3 linked regions of the Diceros bicornis minor genome follow. The protein of the gene in region 3 interacts with the protein of the main gene of each other region in a pairwise test. Links are inferred from orthologs where the notes say so. Each region holds a gene or a part of one and is shown on either strand. Other genes may lie near its edges.

What was found. The genes of interacting proteins can lie anywhere in the genome.
Region 1: the proteins of KASH5 (region 3) and BAG5 interact in binary tests that used the Homo sapiens proteins (3 or more experiments, as listed by UniProt). The two-hybrid records come from large-scale screens. The link is inferred for Diceros bicornis minor from reciprocal best matches to the Homo sapiens genes KASH5 and BAG5.
Region 2: the proteins of KASH5 (region 3) and JAGN1 interact in binary tests that used the Homo sapiens proteins (3 or more experiments, as listed by UniProt). The two-hybrid records come from large-scale screens. The link is inferred for Diceros bicornis minor from reciprocal best matches to the Homo sapiens genes KASH5 and JAGN1.

Annotation. Positions count from the first base shown.
Region 1 is NC_080763.1:48,214,796-48,222,488, reverse strand, and holds the start of BAG5 (BAG family molecular chaperone regulator 5), read left to right. Parts: upstream 1-4,672; 5' UTR 4,673-4,985; intron 4,986-5,011; exon of another isoform or gene 5,012-5,473; intron 5,474-6,301; exon of another isoform or gene 6,302-6,376; intron 6,377-6,478; 5' UTR 6,479-6,506; coding exon 6,507-7,693. Other genes in the region: cytochrome c oxidase assembly factor 8, read right to left, coding at 4,454-4,576. UniProt on the Homo sapiens protein: Co-chaperone for HSP/HSP70 proteins. It functions as a nucleotide-exchange factor promoting the release of ADP from HSP70, thereby activating HSP70-mediated protein refolding.
Region 2 is NC_080741.1:82,837,151-82,844,692, forward strand, and holds the start of JAGN1 (protein jagunal homolog 1), read left to right. Parts: upstream 1-4,521; 5' UTR 4,522-4,684; coding exon 4,685-4,773; intron 4,774-6,667; coding exon 6,668-7,130; 3' UTR 7,131-7,542. UniProt on the Homo sapiens protein: Endoplasmic reticulum transmembrane protein involved in vesicle-mediated transport, which is required for neutrophil function.
Region 3 is NC_080773.1:24,834,554-24,841,593, forward strand, and holds the start of KASH5 (protein KASH5), read left to right. Parts: upstream 1-3,965; 5' UTR 3,966-3,979; coding exon 3,980-4,133; intron 4,134-4,519; coding exon 4,520-4,660; intron 4,661-5,270; exon of another isoform or gene 5,271-5,503; intron 5,504-7,040. UniProt on the Homo sapiens protein: As a component of the LINC (LInker of Nucleoskeleton and Cytoskeleton) complex, involved in the connection between the nuclear lamina and the cytoskeleton.

The DNA.
Region 1 (7,693 bases), on a different chromosome or scaffold from region 3:
CCAATGAAGTAGTCTTCTCTTAAAAAAAAAGTCAAATCTGAATGTGGTCAAAGCTCTAGAATGCAGCTGTCAATTTACAGGAAACACACAGGTCAGAGGAACATGTTAAATTACACCACGGGAATGCAATCAGCAAAATCCAGACCATGGAAAATTCTAACGGACACATCCTTCCCCCAACCCCAACAAATAAATTACTTAAAAAAAGAAAGAAGATGGAATCAAAACCTATAGATTAAAAGAGAACTAAAAAAAAATCAATCAGGGGCCACCCTGTGGCATAGTGGTTAAGTTCCACGTGCTTCACTTCGGCAGCCTGGGGTTCACGGGTTCGGATCCTGGGCATGGGCCTACACCACTCACCAGCCATGCTATGGCGGTGACCTACATACAAAATAGAGGAAGACTGGCACAGATGTTAGCTCAGGGCCAATCTCCCTCAAGCAAAAAAAGAGGAAGATTGACAACAGGTATTAGCTCAGGGCGAATCTTCCTCAGCAAGAAAAAAAAAAGATTAAAAAAAATCATCAATCGCAATGTGTAGAACTTATCTGGATCCTGACACAAACAAATTGTAAAAGAAAACATTCACGACGTTTCTAAGACAATCAAAGAAATTTGAACACTGGACCTTTGCTGGAATTAAGGAATTTTCATAATATTTTTAGGTGTGACCTTGGTATTATGTTTATATATATATATGTATATTTTAAAGTCCATATCTTTTAAGGATAATGAAATATTTACAGATGAAACATGATGTCTGGGGGCCGGCCCCATGGCTTAGTGGTTAAGTGTGCACGCTCCACTACTGGCGGCCTGGGTTCGCACACCGATACACCGCTTGTCTGGCCATGCTGAGGCAGCGTCCCACATACAGCAACTAGAAGGACGTGCAACTATGACATACAACTATCTACTGGGGCTTTGGGGAGAAAAAGAGAAAAAAAAGGAGGAGGATTGGCAATAGGTGTTAGCTCAGGGCCAGTCTTCCTCAGCAAAAAGAGGAGGATTGGCATGGATGTTAGCTCAGGGCTGATCTTCCTTATAAAAAAAAAAAAAAAAAAGAAATACGAAGTCTGATATTTGCCAAAAAATTATCTGGGAAGACGGACTGGATGGGGGTAAAGTTGAAATAAACAGCCAGAAGTGGATAACTGTAGAAGCAGGGTATTGGATGCATAGCAATTCTTTATATTCTTCTATCTTTGTACATGTTTTAAATTTCCCATAAGTAACAAAAAAAGAAAATCAATAAATTATTGTAATTCTCATTTCACTAGATGAAGAAAAAGCATTTTTTTTGTGTGTGTGTGTGTGTGTGTGAGGAAGACCAGCCCTGAGCTAACATCTGTTGCCAAGCCTCCTCTTTTTGTTGAGGAAGATTGGCCCTGGGATAACATCCGTGCCCATCTTCCTCTACCTTATATGGGATGCCGCCACAGCATGGCTTGACAAGCGATGCATCAGTGCGCGCCTGGGATCCGAACCTGCGAACCCCGGGCAGCAACAGTGGAGCGTGCACACTTAACCACTACGCCACTGGGCCGGCCCAGAAAAAGCATTTGGAAACGTTAGAACACTGGACTGAGAATGGAAAGAACTCAGTTTTAATCCTTACTCTGCCATGTAACATCAGACAAGTCTCTTTACCTCTCTGGGTTCCAGTTTCCTCATCTTTCTGATAATGGAGTTAAACCACATGGTTTTTAAAGTCCTCCCGCCCCAGCTTTTAATTTTTTCCAACTATTTATGGAAAGCCTTGTAAATACTAGAAATATCCAAATTAACTTTAAAATCCTATGACTAGACCTCTCACCAGTTTCTCATTTATCTTGAGTTTCAACTTCCTCCTTATGATGTTTATTCTGAATCTACACTTGGGGGTTTGAAGATCATTCTACTTAATGAAAATGTAAGCAAAAGATGACACCAGTAGTTCCATTATTTGTTACTTGTAAATATTACCTCTCCCTGCTGAGGGCCTGTTTCTGTGTTCTTTTTGATCCAAAAATTAATAGAAGAAAAATTGTTATTTATCATCCTCTGGATAGAGTAACCATAACATGTATATTCCTTATGTGCAAGCATTACAACCTTGAGGAAATTGTTCAATCTTACTGTGCCTAAGTTTCCTCATTTGTAATATGGGGATGATAAAAGCACCTACTTCACAGAATTGTGAGGATTAAATAAGTGAAAATATGTAAAACTCTTAGAACAGCGCATGCAAGTGCTCAATAAATGTTAACTATTACTATAAATGTTAATGTAATTCAGGACTACAAGCAAATGTTAATGCACATAATATAACCACTGGTTCTCCAACTTGTGAGCTTATTAGACTTGCCCTTAAAATCCTGATGTTACACCTCACTAAACCTGGGGCCAAGGAACTAGACAAACCAAGAAAATAAATGAATAAATATCCTGATGCCCAAGCCACATCCCAGACCAATCACATCGGAACTTCTGCGGGTGGGCCCCAGTATTCTTTCAAGTATTCCAAATGATTCCAAATGTGCAGACAAGTTCAAGAACCAATGATGTAAACTACACAGATAAGGAATAAGCAGGTATGAAATAGCTGGAGAACATTTAAGAGCTGAATTTTTAAGTTGAGTTTAGAAGGAAAAGCAGTGCCTAAATCTAAGTTCTATAATATTTTTCTATTAAAAACTGGTACCCAGAGATTAGAGATGGGCGTAAATTGCGTAGGTCCTAAAAGGTCAGAAAGTAAAGGACAAAGAATTAATGAAAAATATGTAGAGTGAACTAGACATAGTGGATTAAAATATATCTATTTAGATAAACAAAGCAAAAGGTTTACGACCTGCTACTTTTAAGAAGACCTAATATTCAAAACCGAAGTCTGAAGACAACAATCTCTCTGTGCTGCAGGAATTTAATTACCTGGAGAACCAGCCCTGTACCCAGGAAGCACACAAGGTTGGGACCAAACCCAGGAAACGCAAACCGCCCTGAGGCAGGAACTGTTCTTTTATGTTCCATACGATATCTAGCATAATGGGGCACACATCCTAAAAAACAACACAAGTCACGATGCTAGAATTGGGCAAGGTGTGATTCATGGATCAGCTGCTCCACTCTTCAGCCTCATCACACTCATCACCTTCACAGGTCTAGGCAGTCCAACAGGTGCGCAGCACTGGCTTCCTCGTGACTTGGACCACAAAAGGCAGAGAGGTCTCATCTTGAGGATCAGACCCACGGTAAGATTTACTTTAACGAAAGGCTGTATGACAACAGAGAAAGCCTTGTTTGGGTGCTGTTCTTTTTTTTGGGTGCTGTTCTTTACTTTTAACAAAATAAGCTAGGTTAAGTCCTTACTCTGGAGACAGTTGGCTGATGTTCAGTTTGCCTCCCAGAGCATCTTCAGATACCTGTTGAGTATCCTCCTGCCCAAAGACTGAGATGTGCGTGGATTTCTATGCTCTAGGAACAGAAGACAGGACTTTGGCCACTGTAACAGGGAACTGAGCCAGAGACCTGAGTGACCAGTTGTCTTGGTAACTTCCTGTCTAAACTGTAAACTAGACAGAACTTCAAAGCCGCATTTATAAAAACATAATAGCAACAGACTAAAAGAAATGAAAATTTACAGGCAGGCACATTTTGAAATTCTTAACTGGCTCTTTTTCATCCTTCTTTAATTACTCTTTAAACCAGGTTTTCCAGCCTCCCTCGTTAGCCTGTTGACAAAGTGAAGTGTTAGTATTTGTATGCTTTGTTTAAATATTTTATCTGCAACCCGTTCCACACTGCTAGTCAACATTTTCCTGTCAGTTGGAATCCAGGCCTAGGACTCCCTTAAACAAAGCATCCTTCCCCACAGAAACGCAATTTATAAGAGCTGCTTGCCATTCTTTGCTGCTACAGACATTAATCTTTGTGGATCTTCGGCCAGTAACGTGCGTATATGCACACAGTTTCCAAACAAGAAAAACCCTTCAACGTGAAGTCCTACAAGATACAATGATAAAGTTAGACATCGCTTGAAAAAAAAGCACTAATAATCTCAACGAAGCCAAAAAATAAATACACGCTGTGCACCTCAAGAGCTCTTCAAATATAAGAAGGATCCTCGAGAAGATATAAGGTACGTACAAACTTACTAGATGACTCTGCTCTACTAGCAAAAGTTCTGTCAACAGCCCCCTCAGTTCCATCAGACCAAGGGGGCAGACGTAGGAAACTTGGTGGCCCCGGGGCCTCCCCACTCTCCATACCCCTGTCCCCTCCTCAGGCCCCTGTGCCCCCAGGGCGCGTGCGCAGCTCTGCGCCAGGCCCAGGCCGGCTCGGGGACGCTGCTCCCGGGGAACTCGGCTGACGCCGCAGCGGGGCACGCAGGTGCCCCTGAGGGGCGCGGCCCGGGTCTACCGCCCCTTGCGGTCACCCCTCTCGGCCCAACCTCTCCGGAAACCCCGCTTACCCGGCTCGGTGCCGCATCCCTGCGCTCAGCGCCGCGCTCGGGGGCGAGCTGATAGCGGGGGCCAGTGAAGGCGCGGCAGAAAGGAGAGAGAGCTGTCCTCCACCCCGGCCTCAAAGCAGCCATGGCCCACGCCTCCCGGCTCCCGCGACGCACGGCAGAGTCGCGACGGCGCGAAGGGCTGCCTTACGGCATGGTCGCAAAGCCAGAGTGTGTGAGAGAGAGAAAGAGAAAGAGTGGGGAGCGGCGCGGCCGACAGTGCTCTTTCCCTGCGTGTAACGGGCTGCGGGGGCAGCGGGGCGGCGCGGACGGGGACCCGGCGGCTGGTCCACTGTCGCGGCCATTACAGACTGCCGCGCAAGGCGGCTAGCGGCGGGCTCGGCGCGGGTCGAGGTGCGGCGCGGACGCCAGAGGACGCTTTCCAAGGGCGGAGGGCGTTCGGCCCGGGGGCGGGGCTGCCGGGCTCGGGCGACGGCGGGAGCTGCGGAGTCGCGGGGTGTCGGCGGCGGAGCGCGCGATGGCGCGGGCGGCACAGGTGAGCGCGGCGCAGCGGCTGCGCGGGCCCCCTCCCTCCGCGGGGGCGGCCTCCCCTCGGCGCGGGCATCCGCGGGCGACCTGTGCTCTGGCGCCTCACCCGGCTCTGCCCGGACGGGCGTCGGCGCCGCCCCCACGCCCTGGGTCCGATGGGGCCGCCGGCCGGCGGGGCCGGGCTCCCTTCCCTACGGGCCGGGCTCCCCTCCCTCCGGGCCAGCCGCCCCCTTCCCCGCGGGCCATTGTGAGGTCAGGCCGGCGGGCGCGTAGTGGGGGCCCGGGCGAGACGCCCAGAGCGGCCGCAGCGGCCGGTAGCTGCCGCCGCCACCGCCGGCCCCTTCACCGGCTGCCCCGTTCAGATCTAGCCGGGAGGGGTGAGAGCGATGCTGCTTGGGGCCCATCTCCGGTGCTGCACCCCGTAAAGGGCTGATCTTCCATCTCGCCACCTCACCTACGGGAAGCCAAGACCAAATCAGCTCAGACCTCTTCCGGGTAAAGTGCTGGGAGGGAAGGGTGAGGAGGGGAGGGGAGGAGGGAGGCAACCTGTCCTCCAAAGGCACGTTCTTGGCTCGAACACCCACAAGGGATTGGTTTCAATTGATTATCCAGCCCCTTCCAGTGAGCTGTTTGGTAGAAACCCAAGAGCAGGGAAAAAATGCGTTAAGTCATTCTGGACTCTTAATGGGAGGCTAGTGAATGAATTATTCATAGTTGTCACATTTTTGTGGGATGTATTGGGGGAGGAGGGGAGCATGATAGGCATGGGGAGGTACTCGGGCCTCCAAAGCCCAAGATGGTGCCTTTAATGTAATCCCAGTCGCGTTTCCTGTGGAATTCCATACCTCTGTAGAGAAGATTTGTGAGGTACTAAAAGGGTGAGATGAGAAACAGGGTAGCTTTGTAGAAGTGCATAAAGGGATGGAGAAGAATGTAGAAAGGGGGACTTTGGGGGGTGTCTGGGAACCACTGGTATTTGTTTCGCTTTGAGTTACTTTTTCTGGAAACTAGGCATAGCTCTTTGGCCAGGTGGGGTGCTTAGGTGGTACTGTATCGTTTGGAAGGTTAGAAGAGCTACTGTTTCACATTCCACAAAGGTGCCCTGCTGGTGCCAGAAAAACAGCTTCCAGTGTCAGCAGCTAAGATAGTTGTGCTCTTTCCAAGGTGATAGTTCAACTTCATGCTGTACTTATGAAGACACATGCTACCGTCTTGTACACTTGAAGAAACTTGAAATTCACAGGCCCAGAGCACCAGGTCGTTTTGGACGCTGCAGTAACCCCTGTCTGTTCTTAATCGCTGCTGTGTTTATATTATTTTCAGGAGAGGGAGTTGGTTAATCACTGCTTGAGTATGACTGTCATTTGGATTACAATAATAACAAGCCCTTTTTCTTAGGTATATCTTTTTAAAATGAGAATTTTAGAGTGAATTAATATACAGTTACCGTTTTGCAGAGACTTTGTGATGTAATCGGTTATCATTCTTGTCATCTTTCAGTGCTTGTGAAACTGAACACAACAGAAGTATGGATATGGGCAACCAACATCCTTCTATTAGTAGGCTTCAGGAAATCCAAAAGGAAGTGAAAAGTATAGAACAGCAAGTAATTGGCTTCAGTGGCCTGTCAGATGACAAGAATTACAAGAAACTGGAGAGGTTTCTAACAAAACAACTTTTTGAAATAGACTCTGTAGATACAGAAGGAAAAGGAGACATTCAGCAAGCTAGGAAGAGGGCAGCACAAGAGACAGAGCGTCTTCTCAAAGAGTTGGAGCAGAATGCAAACCACCCACACCGGATTGAAATACAGAACATTTTTAAAGAAGCCCAGTCCCTGGTGGAAGAGAAGATTGTGCCATTTTATAGTGGAGGCAACTGTGTGACAGATGAATTTGAAGAAGGCATCCAAGATATCATTCTGAGGCTGACACATGTTAAAACTGGAGGGAAGGTCTCCTTGCGGAAAGCAAGGTATCACACTTTAACCAAAATCTGTGCAGTGCAAGAGATTATCGAAGACTGCGTGAAAAAGCAGCCTTCCCTGCCGCTTTCCGAGGATGCGCATCCTTCCGTTGCCAAAATTAACTCTGTGATGTGTGAAGTGAACAAGGCCAGAGGCACTCTGATTGCACTCCTGATGGGGGTGAACAGTAACGACACTTGCAGGCACTTGTCTTGTGTGCTCTCAGGGCTGATGGCTGATCTGGATGCTTTAGATGTGTGCGGGCGTACAGAAATCAGAAACTACCGAAGGGAGGTAGTAGAAGATATCAACAAATTATTGAAATATTTGGATTTAGAGGAGGAAGCAGGCACTACTCACGCATTTGACCTGAGACAGAATCATTCCATTTTAAAAATAGAAAAGGTCCTCAAGAGAATGAGGGAAATTAAAAATGAGCTTCTTCAAGCACAAAATCCTTCTGAATTGTACCTGAGCTCCAAAACAGAATTGCAGGGTTTGATTGGACAGTTGGATGAGGTAAGTCTTGAAAAAAACCCCTGCATCCGGGAAGCCAGGAGAAGAGCCGTGATTGAAGTGCAAACTCTGATCACCTACATTGACTTGAAGGAGGCCCTCGAGAAGAGAAAGCTGTTTGTTGGTGAGGAGCACCCATCACATAAGGCCGTCTGGAGCATCCTTGGGAGCTTGTCAGAGATCCAGGGAGAAGTTCTGTCATTTGATGGAAATCGGACTGATAAGAACTACAT
Region 2 (7,542 bases), on a different chromosome or scaffold from region 3:
TTTCCCATCAGGATGCCTTTTATTTTATTGTCTTACCTGTTCACCCTGACTAGAACCTCCAATACGATGTTGAATAGAAGTGGCAAGAGCAGATATCCTTATCTATCCCTGATCTCAGGGGGAAAACTTGCAGAATTTCACCATTAAGGATGATGTTAGCTGTGAGTTTTTCATAGATGCTCTTTATCACAAAGATGTAATTTTAAATTTTCTAATAGCCACATTAAAATAAAAACAGGTGAAATTATTTGTAATATATTTAATTCAATCTAAAATATGATAACATATTATCGAGGTAAAAATTGATAAGATTTTACCTTTTTTTATATTAAGTCTTCAAAGTCCTACATGTATTTTAGACTTAAGCACATCTCAGTTTCAACTAGACACATTTTAAGAGTTCAGTAGCCACATAGAACTAGTAGCTACTGCACTGGATAGTGCAACTCTAGAGCTAAACAGACATAGGTTTGAAGTATAGCTCCCCTTCTTCATTATTCCGAATTTAAGCAAGTTATCACCTTTCTCTGAAGTAGTTTCATCATCTAAAAAGTTAAGGCAAGTACAGACTTAGAGTCCTCACAAGGATTAAATGCTAAAGTGTATGAGATGACAGTCTGGGTTTAAATCCCAGTGAATAAAGTTGGCCTCTGCCTGTAGAAAATGGGAACAGTAGCAACTAGCTCAAGGGTCTGATTACAAGAAATGCTATAAGTTACCTGGCAGAGTACATGCTCCATAACGTGCATTTACTAACTTTTATGCGATACTGATTAACATGGAAAGAGACCCATGGCATGTCATAGAATAAAAGTTCAGGCTACATACGGCATAACCCCATTTAAGTAAGTTATATATAAGGATAACGATTCAGGACATTCACAACCACATCATTAGTTATCTTGGAATAGGAGAATTCTCACTTTACTTTTTTGCTTGGATTCACTAGAGAATATATATATATTTTTGCTTAAAATCTTTCAATAAAGGCCTGGGATCAGCAACATACCAACAGGAATGAACACACCTAGCTCGCAGATCTTGATTTCTGAATATTGACAAGATATATTAAGTTAAAACAAAAAGCAAAGTCTTGTCGCCGGCCCTGGGGCCAGCCCTGGGGCGTAGCGGTTAAGTGTGCGCACTCCACTGCTGGTGGCCCGTGTTCAGATCCCGGGCGCGCACTGAGGCACCGCTTGTCAGGCTATGCTGTTGTGGTGTCCCACATAAAGTGGAGGAAGATTGGCACAGATGTTAGCTCAGGGCCAGTCTTCCTCAGCAAAAAGAGGAGGATTGGCATGGATGTTAGTTCAGGGCTGATCTTCTTCACACACACACACAAAAAACAAAGTCTTTAATTGTGTATAATACACAACCCTCTGTATTTTTAAAAACGTAAAATAACAACATAGCTTTACATTTGCTTGTACGTTCTTCAAGAGCCTCTGGAAATATATACAATAACACTGAAAAAAAGCATTTCCCTGGTTGGGTGGTGTGGGGTGGAGGGTTGAGATCTGGGAGCATGGGGAGCAGAGTTGAGGGTCGGATTTTTCACTGCATATATTTTTAAAAATTTGGATAACTTTATTTTGATACTATTTTCTTTCATTGTAATCTTATGTATTTTATTTTACGCATTTAAAAACATCACTCTGAGAAGAGGTCTGTAGGCTTTCCCAGGCTGCCAAGGGCCATGGCACACCAGTGGTTATGAACCTGAGCTCCAAATGATCATGCCTTTCCATCATTGCCCTTCCCTTACGACCACTTGCATTTTTAAATAATAGCTTTGTTCAGATATAATTCCCATACCTAAAATTCAACATTTTAAAGTGTACAAGTCAATGGTTTTTAGTATATTCACAAAGTTGTGTAATGATCCCTACTATCTAATTCCAGAACATTTTTATCACCCATACCTACTGCAGTTACTCTCTACTTCCCCCTGGCAACCACTACTCTACTTTCTGTCTCTATGGATTTGCCTATTCTGGACATTTCATATAAATGGAATCCGGCAACATGGGGTTTTTTGTGACTAGCTTTTCACTTAACATAATGTTTTCAAGGTTCATCCATGTGATAGCATGTATCCTTTTTAATTGCCAAATATATTCCATTCATGGACATACCAAATTTTTTATCCATTCATCAGATGATGAACATATGGGTTGTTTCCACTTTTTGACTATTATAAGTAATGCTGTCTTGATCGTTTATGTACAAATTTTTGTGTCGATGTATGTTTTTACTTCACTTGGGTGTATACTTAGGAATGGAATTGCTGGGTCATAGATTCACTCTACGTTTAATTTTTTGAAGTAGTGCTAAACTGTTTTCCAAAGTAGCTCTACCATTCTACATTCCTACCACGAATATTTGAGGGCTCCAATTTCTCCACATCCTCACCAACACTTGTTATTGTCTGTCTTTTTTAATTTTAGCCATCCTAGTGGGTGTGAAGTGGCATCTCAGAAATTTTTGGAATGCATTTACCTAATAACTAATGGTGCTGAACATCTTTTCATGTAATTATTGTGCATAAATTTATTATTTATTATAGTGTTTGATTTCTAAACCACATAAATGCATTACGTAGTCAACACTTCAGATTAAAAATAGACATTCTCAGGCCCAACCCTGAGGAATAATTCATTTGGGTAAGGGTAGGGCCCAGAAATCTATGTTTTTCATAAGAATCCTGGGTGATTCTATCAGAGATGGTCCTAGACCAGGCTTAACAAACACTGAACCCACTGAGCAAGAACAATGGGGGCTGATGTGGAGCAGGTGATTCTTGTTGGAGTAATGAGAGGGATTCTAAAGGGTCAGCAGGATTTCCCTAGCGCAAGGAAAGACATTCTAGAGAGTATAGGGGGAGGAGACAGATATTCCTGGCCCATACCCTAGAAAGTTGATTTTCCCTCAGTAGGTCCTGAACCCTCTTAGTTATTCCTCAACCAGGGGCAGTAAAAAATCCCGGGCCCTAGGATCACCTTGGTCAGAGATCTTATCATAGTCCTGCTGCTGTGTGACTTTGGGCAAGTCACTTCCTCTCTCTGAGCCTCAATTTCCCCTTCTGTAACAGAAAAACAATAGTAATTACTCACAAGGGTATTGGGAGAAGAGAATGAGTTCATGTGTGTGAACACGCCTAGCATATAGTAGGTGCTCAATAAATGTTGCTGATTTCTTGCTTGCCTTTCCCAGATCCTAGACATAGAGACTCTCTTTTGTGTATATGTCCTTATTTGCATGTGCTCTTATTGCCCAGCTCCAGGTGTTAAATCCCAAGTAGCTCACATCTGTTCCTCTCTCTCCACTGCCATCTCCCTAGCCCAAGCCACCCTCGTGCCTGCTTGGATTACTGCAGTGGCCTTCACACAATTCCCCTGCTTCACCCTGGTCCCCTCCAACCCATTCTCCATATAGCAAATAGACCTTTTGCTCTAGTTTTAAAAACACAAACCTGTCACTCTGCTGGTTAAACCTTTTAATGACTCCCCAACAATGGGATAAAGTCCTAACTCTTTACTTCGGCCTTCAAATGCTCCAATCACTGTGAAGTTTTTCAGTTCTAACAGCCAAGCTCCCTCTGGATTCTGGGCGTTTACATCTGAAGTGAAAACCCCTTTCCACCCCTCGACTCCAGCTAATTCCTACCCAGGCCTCAATGGTCTTCACTCTAGAAAGACTTTCCTAATCCTTGAAGTGGGAGGAGGTGCCTCCTATCTGCTCCCTCAGCCTCATGCCAAGGAGCACCCTATTTCATAGCTTCACGGGTGTAGGTTCTTCCCCCCTCTGGGTTGTGATCCCTCAGGGGACAGGGACCCCATCTGTCTGTCTCATTTCTGTGCCCTCGGATCATAGCATGGTATCCTAGTGCATAGTGGATACTCAGAACATGGTTTTTAAAAGTTTTGTTGAAATTTTTGAAAAGTACATTCCACCTTTCTTGTAGAATGTCCCTCAAGTTGAGTTTGTCTGTCATCTCCTCATGATTAGATTCAGGTTAAGTATCTTTGGCAGGAGTATCACATAAGTGATGCTGTGTCCTCAGCGTATCCAGACGCACGAAGTGTCAGTTTGTCTCGTTAGTGGTCAAGTTAACATGGATCACCTTGTTAAGGGGGTGCGTACCCGATTTCTCCACTGTAAAGTTCCCGTTTTCTCTTTGCAATGATTAAGTAATTCATGGAGACAAACTCTGAGACTGTGTGAACGATAAGCGCTCTTGAGAAGTCACAGAACCCTTCCAAGCTTCAGCTTCCCCATCTGTGAACTGGGGACAGCGGCATCTTAAACTCGTATCGGAGTTTAAGAAAGTGAAACTGCTAGAGACGCTGGAGAACCTGCCCCGGTGCAGACGGCAAAAACACGCCAGCAACGAGGATTAACTTCTTGCACGTTCGGAACGCGGAGAGGCAGGACGCGGTGTGCCCGAGAGAGCGAGAGCGCGCGCGTGCGTGTACGTGTGCGCGTGCGCGGCGGGGGGCGCGGAGAGGGAGTGACCACAGAGTCGGTCCTCCCGAGACAGAGAGGCCGGAAGCTTTTCTCCGAGAATCGGGCTTTTGTTAGGTTGGAGGAACTGAGGCGGTGCGACCGGGTTCTGCAGGCGGTTTGGCGCGGTAGTCCCGGCAGCGCGTCGGCCTGAGGGGCTCCGGGGTTCTGGGCGGGTACAATGGCGTCTCGGGCAGGCCCGCGAGCGGCCGGCACCGACGGCAGCGACTTTCAGCACCGGGAGCGTGTCGCCATGCACTACCAGATGAGGTATGAATTGAGGCGAGGAGCACGCCGGCCGCCGCGGCCGGAGCCTGCAGGGCCTGGGGAGCGACGCCGGCCCGGCCTCACGGTCTTACTCCCAGCCGGCCCCGCGCACCTGCCAAGCCCCCTCCTCCCGTGGCGGCCCGGGGCCTGTCCCCATTCCCGGGAAGCCCCGTCGCCGCCGTGCGCTCCACTCGGATCCGCCCTGTGTCTCGAGGGGGTCCAGCCCCGCCGGAGTGACGGCGATGCTGGACCTCGGGAGCCTCATTTCTAATTGAGCCCCGGTTTCCTCATCTGCGAAGGGAGACGTAATCTACCTTTTGGGTTTGGGTGAAGAGTTAGTGAGCTAACAGTTCGTGTAACGGACGTAGCATAAGATCTAGCACATAATAAGAGTCTGCCCAATACGTGGTAGCTGTTATATTTTGGGCCGTTTAGGGGGATGTGGACCCTAAAGTCCAGCCTTTCCCTGCCTAAAGTGAATTTTATGAACACCCCACGTAAGGGGTATTTCTACATTCATTTATTTGTTTGACAAATATTTGTTGAGCTTCTACCCATCATGCATTGTGCTAGGCACTGAGGATATAATTGAGCAAAAGCAGACCTGGTCTTTGTATGCATGTTATACCGTCAATAAACAAGTTTATTAACAAACAAATAAAACTGGTCCCTGCCTTCATGGAGCTTGAAGTCTAGAGGTGACTAATTTTACCCCTACCTACCTTTCCACACTTTCTATAATGGATATTTTTAAAATAAAAGAAATTTTTTTCGGTGAGGAAGATTAGCCCTGAGCTAACATCTGTTGCGAATCTCCTCTTTTTGCTGAGGAAGATTGGCCCAGGGCTAAGGTTGGTGCCCATCTTCCTCTGCTTTATATGTGGGACACTGCCACAGCATGGCTAGATAAGCGGTGCGTAGGTCAGTGCCCAGGATCCCAACCTGTGAGCCCCGGGGCTGCCCTGGGCCACTGAAGCAGAGTGTGGGAACTTAACCACTATGCCACCAGGCTGGCCCCTGAAATAAAAATTTTAAAACGAGATTTTCTTTCCTTAAATCCATTGAACGCTGTCAGTGTTTTTCACATCTTTCTCTCCAGAGTTTAAAAAAATGACAAGCTCTTTGGACCCTCACTTCATTTTTATCCTTAGACCCTTGCCTAAGAGGACCTCACAGCCCAAGCAAGTCTTGTTGTGCCTGTCCAGAGCAGAACCTCTGCCCTTGCGAGTGTGAAGAGGATACATTTAGGACCTGAGAGAATTAGAAGAATAAGAGAAATACGTGCTGCCTTTAGATGAAAAATCGACTGTAGCTTGAGAATTATGGGCAGCCTGAGCTTATTTCCTGACTGCCACTGCCTCTTTCCTCCAGGCTGTATCCCTACGGTGCAAAGTCATCTTTCTAAACACAGCTCTGAAATACTCTTCTGCCTTTAAACTGACTCTTTCATAGTTTTTACAGTTTCATATCCAGCTACTCCCCTTCCCCTTACAGCGTATTCCTGCCACACCCAACCACTTGCTTTCCTGGAACACAAATGCTTATGCCTTTTTGCCTGCATACTATTACCTCTGCTTAGAATGCCCATCTCCATCCACCTCTCAGAGCCCAGCTCAAATGTCACCTTTCTCTAGTTAGCTGTCTCAGACATCCTATCCCAAGCAGAATTGATTACTCCTTCCTGTGATCCATCTATTTTGCAACATATAATTACTAGAGCTTTTCCAATTCGTTTTCTAATTATATTTTCTTCCTCTGTTCCTTGTGCCCAGCCTCCGGGCAGGGACTATATCATATTCACGTTTGTATCCCATTGTCCAGTATAGTTGCCTGGCATATACTTGGTGGTCAGAAAATTTTGAATGAAAGGTACTTCTCCCTCTGCTCTGCCCCACAGTGTGACCCTCAAGTATGAAATCAAGAAGCTGATCTACGTGCATCTGGTCATATGGCTGCTGCTGGTTGCCAAGATGAGCGTGGGACACCTGAGGCTCTTGTCACATGATCAGGTGGCCATGCCCTATCAGTGGGAGTACCCGTATTTGCTGAGCATTGTGCCCTCTGTCTTGGGCCTCCTCTCCTTCCCCCGTAACAACATTAGCTACCTGGTGCTCTCCATGATCAGCATGGGGCTCTTTTCCATCGCTCCCCTCATTTATGGCAGCATGGAGATGTTCCCTGCTGCACAGCAGCTCTACCGCCATGGCAAGGCCTACCGCTTCCTCTTTGGTTTTTCCGCTGTCTCTGTCATGTACCTGGTGTTGGTGCTGGCAGTCCAAGTGCATGCCTGGCAGTTATACTACAGCAAGAAGCTCCTAGACTCTTGGTTCACCAGCACACAGGAGAAGAAGCGTAAATGAAGCCTGCCTGATGGACTGCTCTGTGGGGTGAAGCCTGGGCCTCCCATTGAGTGGAATGAGAGGGTAGAGGAGCTGTTCTGAAATCTCCTTTGGTGATTTTGGCAGCTGTGATGTTGGAAACGAGTGCAAACTAGGTCCAAGTTCTGGAAAGCCCCTCCTGTTGCCATCAGCTGAGGTTGCAAAACTGTACTTTATTTCTAGTTGGCTGGAAGTCAGTGATCAACAGCTGTAAAACAAACTTGAGCTGGTTGAAGCTGAGGTCCTTCAGGATTTTTATTTTAAGACTGAGCCTCATCCTTGCCTCTTCTTGGTCATTCTTTCCACTTCCATCCATCACCCCTTAGCCACCGAGACTGAAGGAGATAGGGAATAAATCAAATTCTGCTTCAGTCTATAAGTCATGGGGCAGGAA
Region 3 (7,040 bases):
TTTGTCTGATTCCATATCTCACGCTTTTAACCGCTCACCACATCACCCACCAAACAGGTTCTTTCCCAGGCCTAATAACAAGCCACCATCTAATAGCCAAAATAATAACTGTCAATTAACAAGGATTACCACCTTAAGTCCTCAAGGTAACATAAGAAGCAATTATTATCTTCATTTCTGGGAGGAAAACTGAGGCTCAGAGAGCGTAAGCCATTGTGGCAAGGTTGCAGCTAGGAAGTGATGGAGGCAAAATTCAAACCCACAAATGTCTGACTCCAGGCCCACAGCCTTATCATCACTCTATACTGCCCAGTAGTTAAGAGACATGGATTCTGTCCATTCATTCACTCATTCATTCAGCTCATTTTTGTGTGTGCGCATGAGGAAGATCAGCCCTGAGCTAACATCCATGCCAATCCTCCTCTTTTTTTTGCTGAGGAAGACTGGTCCCGGGCTAGCATTGGTACCCATTCTCCTCCACTCTATATGGGATGCTGCCACAGCACGGCCTGACAAGTGGCGCTGGGTGCGCGCCCGGGATCCGAACCCGGTGCCCAGCAGCGGAGCGCCCGCACTTAACCCCCACGCAACGGGGCCGTCCCCCTCAGCTCATTTTTTGTGTGTCCGCACTGGACTAGGCATGTTCTAGCCCCAAAACAGTCTCCTGCTGCATATAGCTCACCTTGCAGTGAGGGTGACAGACAGTACACAAATACAGAGTGTCACATGGTGAGACGGGCCATGAGGACCACTAAAAAAACAGTTAAGTGGATACTAAGATGGAGGCCTAGTGTAGACACCGCGGCAGGGGAAGGTCTCTCTGAGGAAGTGACAGCTGAATAAATGATGGCTGGATGAACAAGAGGATGCAAAAGGATTCTTTTTCTGTATCTGGGCTAGCAGAGAGGCCGAGTGGGTGAGACATCTTTTGTCTCAAATCCCCCTTTTTGGGAGTCAATGTTAGATGTAATTCTCTTCCTCTCTCCAGCCAGAAAAGCTGAGAATATTTTTTCCCCACTCTCTCCTAAAAGGAATGAATGAAACGGTTTGGGAAAGAATCTTTCGGGGACCTGTTAATACATTGTGACTAGAGCCACAAAAGGGCGCGGGAGTGGTGAGGCAGCAAATCATTGTGACGGTGACGTGCAGCCTGGCACGGAACAGAGGGCAGAAAGGGCACGGCTTGGTGGCTGATAAGAAGGGAGGGATGGACAAGGAGTCCCTCAGTCCAACTCTCCCTTGCTTGGGCCCATTTCACCGAAATTTGAGGCCGCACAGAAGACCCCAGCGTAGACGTCGCCGTCACCCCTCCCTCCCAGCCATAATCTCTCCCGCAGTCACCCGTTCGGCCAACGCGCATGCGCCCGCCCCACCAGACTGGGAGCGCGCCCGGGCAGCCAGACGCATGCGCAGCCTCACTGTTGCAGGTAACCGACAAGACCGGCGCGCGCCTTCTGCCGGTGTGCGCCTGCGTCAGGGGAGGAACCCGGGGGGGCGGGGTTTGGGCGACACGCGAGCTCTCGGTCCCGCCCCGGCCCTCTTTGCTTTTTCTGGCGGGAACGGCGCACGCGCACCTGCTCTCCACGTAACTGCCGTTGTTTGTTCGTCGCTCTCGTTTGTGTCCCGAGACTGGGACGTGGCCTCAGGTGAGCCCTGGCCCTGGCTGCAGCGAGGTTCCCCAGAGAAGCTCTGTCAGAGCCCCGCCCGCAGTCCTGGCAAAGCCCCCAAGTCGTAGAGGAGAGTCCCCGATATCAGGGCCTTCCAAATCTAGCTAAAATTCTTCTTGAAATCCCGACCAAATACCCTCAGAAATACTGAAAGGAACCCATCAGGAAATCTTATAGATGACCCTGGAAATCTTCTCAGAATCTTCTAGAAGTTCTGTCAGACTTCTCCCTCAGAGCCTGTCAGAGACCCCCCTAAAATCCTATTAGACTCCCTCCCCAAATCCTATCAGAGACCCCAAAAGTTCTGTCAGAGAGCCCCAGAAATCTTCTCAAACCCACCAAAAATCCTGTCGGATTCCCCTCCCAAAAACCTATCAGAGACCTCGCAAATCCGGTTGGAGACACCCCCAGAAATCCAGAGGCCCCTCCCCCTAGAAATCCAGTCAGAGATCTGCCCAGGAATCCAGAGACGCCCCCCCCTAGAAATCCAGTCAGAGGTCTGCCCAGGAATCCAGAGACACCCCAGGAATCCAGTCAGAGATGCCCCAGAAATCCAGAGACCCCCCTAGAAATCCAGTCAGAGACCCCCCAGAGACCCCTCTAGAAACCCAGTCAGAGATCCCCAGAAATCCAGAGACCCCCTAGAAACCCAGTCAGAGATCCCCAGAGATCCCCCCCAGAAACCCAGTCAGAGATCCCCCAGGAATCCAGAGACTCCGCTAGAGACCCAGTCAGAGATCCCCCAGGAATCCAGAGACCCCCCCCAGAGACCCAGTCAGAGATCCCCGAGGAATCCAGAGACCCCCCCCAGAGACCCAGTCAGAGATCCCCCAGGAATCCAGAGACCCCCCCCAGAGACCCAGTCAGAGATCCCCGAGGAATCCAGAGACCCCCCCCCCAGAAACCCAGTCAGAGATCCCCAGAAATCCAGAGACCCCCCTAGAAACCCAGAGATCCCCAGGAATCCAGAGACACCCCTAGAAACCCAGTCAGAGATCCCCCAGGAATCCAGAGACCCCCCCCAGAAACCCAGTCAGAGATCCCCAGAAATCCAGAGATCTCCCTAGAAACCCAGTCAGAGATCCCTAGGAATCCAGAGACCCCCCCCATAGACCCAGGCAGAAATCCCCCAGGAATCCAGACACCCCCCCCTAGAAACCCAGAGATCCCCCAGGAATCCAGAGACCCCCCTAGAAACCCAGTCAGAGACAGCCCTCACCCCCAGAAACCCAGCTGGAGGCTCCCCGCAGAATCCCTGCCTAGGTCCTCCTGCTCAAGTCTCCCCGTCAGAGACCCCCAAGATCACCCAACAGCCCCTGCTCCCCCGCCAGGAGTCTGTCCCCGAACCCTGTCAGAAGCCCCCAGTGCAGGTCGGCAGCCTTGCAGGGCCCCTTCCCCACTGAGGCCCCACGGCCATCGCCCCCCTTATGCACTTTCTGGGCTCGTCCAAACCCTGGAAGGGTCTCTTTTCAAAGACCCCTTTTTCTAGGACGTTCTAAAAGCCACCAAGAAGTGCGCGCTCCACGGCCGTGGACCCCGTCTGGCGCCAGGGAGAGCAGGGAGTGGGGAGTGCTTGGTGAGGAAAGGGGGCTGAGCAGGTGGGGGGAGGACACACAGGTCCCGGGTGACCCTCTGTGACCATTTGCCCCAGTGTGCCCAGTTCAGCTTCGAGGGGCACCACTGTCCAGTGTGATTGTTAATAGCGCCCCTTTCACTCTTGCAAGTGTCCTGGAGGTGGGACGGCAAGTCGTGTGGTCAAGCTGATTATCACGGAGGCAGGACAGGGCGTTGTCAGGGCACAGAGGAGAGGGGCCCTAACTGCTCCAGGGACTCGGGGAAGGCTCCCAGGAGAGCTGTCACCAGGGCGGGGACCACTGGTGAGGATGGTGCGTGCGTGGCCTGGGCGGACCGTGGGAAGATGCTAAGCTCCCATGGCCGTGATGGGGGTGAGCAACCTGGAGATCGGCCAGTGGAGGGAAGAGTGACAAAAAGAGGCAAGGAGTTGCAGGAACCACTGTGTACCACGCCAGCCTGAGGGACTGGGACTTAGTCCTGGGGGCACTCGGGAGCCATGGGTGGGCTGGGAGCAGGGAAGGAGCGGGATCAAACTCCAGTGAAAGGCCAGCAGCTCCAAATACAGGCTGACCTGGCAAGAATGTCAGTAGCCCAGGGCGGTGGGGGAGCCCAGGGACAGCACCTTGTTCAGAAACATTGTCCCAGCAGAGGGGACATGTGAGCCGAGACAGGAAGGGCTGGTGAGGAGGGTGTCCGAGGCAGAGACCCAGAGGGGGGAACAGCCTTTGGGGAACAGCATGCAGTTGAGTCGCTGGAGCAGCAAGTGTGATTTGGAGTGGAGAGACAGGTGGGGCCAGGCCGTGCAGGGCCTTCAATGCCAGATCCAGGGTCTAGGCTCTGTCCCCCGGGTGCTGGGGAGCCGTAGAAGAACACTGAGCAAAGGAGGGACAGGTCAGCTCTGGGGCCCTGTGGGGATGGACTGGAGGGGGAGGGATGGAGGCCTGACCCAGAGCTGTAGAGAGGGAGAGGAGGGGACAGGGTAGAGTCACCCTGCGGGAGCAGGGCTGAGGGCTTAACAAGCTGTGGGGAGGAGGGGAGGCAAGTGACCCCCGCCCAGTAGCCCCCCTTTGATCTCCGCCGCCCGCTCCTCGGGCCCCCATTTTCCCAGCCCACACCTCCAATCCATAAAACAGGTCTGAGCGGGCGCTGCTCTGGTCGAGGCAGGGTGGGCGAACAGGTTCTGAGAACCCAGAGTGGCCCGGGGCACAGGAGGGGCAGCACGGTCCCCATCCTCGGGTGGCTGGTCTGAGGAGGCCGTTCTCTGTTTGTCCTTGCAGGAGCTCTCGGGGCCGCCGGTGCTTTGTCAGTCTGTCCCAGTGATGGAGGGAGGCTCTTAGCGTCGCCAGCGGCTGCAGAGCAGAGGCAGTGGCCCATGGACCTGCCAGAGAGCCGGGCGGGCAGCCCCGCCGCTGCAGAAAGTAGGTGGCTGGGCCCCTGTCTGTCCCATGGGAGGATAAGGAGGAAGTAGTGGGTGAAGAGGGCACCAGGCTGTGACGCGGGGACTTTGGAGAGGTGGCTTGGGCTGGCTGAGCCTCCCCCTTGGTGCAGGGTGGGAGACAGAGAGCTATCGTTGATTAAGTGCCTGCTATGTGCCCTCCGGTCTGGACACCTTGTCGCATTTGCTCTAGGGAGGCCAGAGCAGCAGCCTTTGCAGGCGCTGTCCCCCTGCCCCGGGGACCTGCGGGCTTCCCCCTCACTTCCTTCAGATCTCTGCTTTCTGTAAAGCAGCTGCCTGTCACGCTGTCTCCCCTTTCCTGCTTCACTTCTCTTCGTAGCACCGACATCTGTTTGTCTGTCCGTCTAGTCTCTGTCTCCCCCACTGGAGCATGAGGTCCACAAGGCAGGGTCATTTTAGTCACTCTGGTATCCCCGTCCCTAGAGCAGCGTGTCCAACAGGCGAGCCATGTATGTCATTTTACATTTTGTTAGGAGCCACATTTAAAAGAAACAGGCAAAATGAGTGGCAATAATAGATTTTATTTAACTTAATATGTCCCAAATCATCTCCTTTCTGCTTATCATCAGTATAAAAATATGTTGGAGAGATTCTCTTTTTTTTCATACTAAGTCTTCATGATCTGGTGCGTACTTTACACGAACAGAGCATCTCAGTTCACACTCACCACAGATCAAGTGCTCAAGCAGCACCTGTGGCGAGGAGCTGCCCTCCCTGTTGGTTACGCTGCCCCAGAACGATGCCTGACACGGAATAGGAGCTCAGTTACTGTCCTTGAGTGATTGGAAGGACGCAGACCCTCTGGGTGTGACAGCCGGCTTCATGAGGAAGACGCTGGGTGGCGCTCTCTGAAATTCATCTAAGTGGGAGAGCCCCATGTGATGGGGGAGGAGGCTCCCACCCCAGGGCAGCAGCAGGGTCCCTTTCTTAGAGGCTCCCAGCATCCAGCAGCAGAGCCTGTGTCTTTCCTCAAGGCCTCAGGAGGCTTTCCAGGTGGGAAGGCGGAAGGTAGACACCTCGGTGAAGGAACCTGAGGGCAGGCTGATGGAGTAACCGACATCTAAACTTCGCCGCCACCAGCAGAGGGCGTGCGGCCACCGAGGAACCCGCGGGAAAGGGCTGAGCCAGCTTCGGGAGGCTCCTGAAGGAAAGGGAGGGACACACCCAGGAGAGATGGAGACAGAGGAAGGCAGGTGGGGAGAGAGCCAGAAAGGCAGCAGAGGAAAGAGAGAGAAGGTTCGGGGAATGGAGAGTCACTGAGATATGGGAAGAGAAGCACAGAGACGGAGACGCAGGGAAGAAAACGGGGCAAAGGACAGGGAGACCAAGAGGCGGGGCTTAGGGGAGAGAGAGATGGGAAGGAAGATGTATAGAAAGAGCCCGAGAGAAAAGTAGAAAAGGGCAGGGACAGAGACACACAGAGTGAGGTAGAGACACTGAGGAAGAAAGTACAGGAAAGAGAACAGGAGAGAAGCAGAGTGACATCCTCCTGAGGGCCCTGGGAAGGGACTGTAGACACGTGCGGATCCTCAGGGCCCCTGAGATGTGGAGCCAGACAGTGCTGGGTTGACTCCACCTGGCTCTCCTTGGCTGAGCGGCTCTGGGCGAGTGACCTTGCTGGACCTGTGACCTCACTGGGCCTCAGGGTCCTCCTCCGTAACGTGGGGAGCACAGTGAGAGGAGGAAACGAGAGTGCCCGTAAAGCTCCGGGCATGGGCCCTGGTGTCTCCCCTGATGTGGGTTCCTGCTCCCCTTCCCTAGGAACGTGGGCTCAAACCCAAGGGGACTGAATGTTAGCTCACTACGAAGAACCGTTGAAGAGTTAGAGGGCTGAGAAAGGGCACTCGTGTGGAACAGGTGACCCTGGGCAAGTTCCTAACTTCTCTGTGCCTGGGTATCCTCATCTGTAAAGTGGGGCGAATAATAGCAGCCACCATGGTCCGTGCAAAACACTTAGAAGAGGCATGGCACCTATTAAATGCCGAATACGTGTTCCATTCTATTATTGAGCTTCCACCACGTACCAGTCTCTCTGCCCAGGCCTTTCCAGATTGTCTCTCATTTCTTCTCTTGGAAGGAGGTGAGACCAACCCCATTTTCCAGACGAAGAAACAGGCTCGGAGAGGCTGAGTCCCTTGCCTGGGTTGCTTCCCGGGTCTGCTAGACTCTGCAGCCCGTGCTCAGCCCGCTGCTATACCCAGCTGTCCAAAGGCAGGGCGGGGAGTCTCGAGGGTCACTTCCAACCCTGGGGAAGAGGCTGGGCTGTCTCAGTGGCTCCTAGAGTAGAGGATCTCCTCCTATATCTTGGCGCATTTATTGAGTGCCTACTATATGCAGGCGCT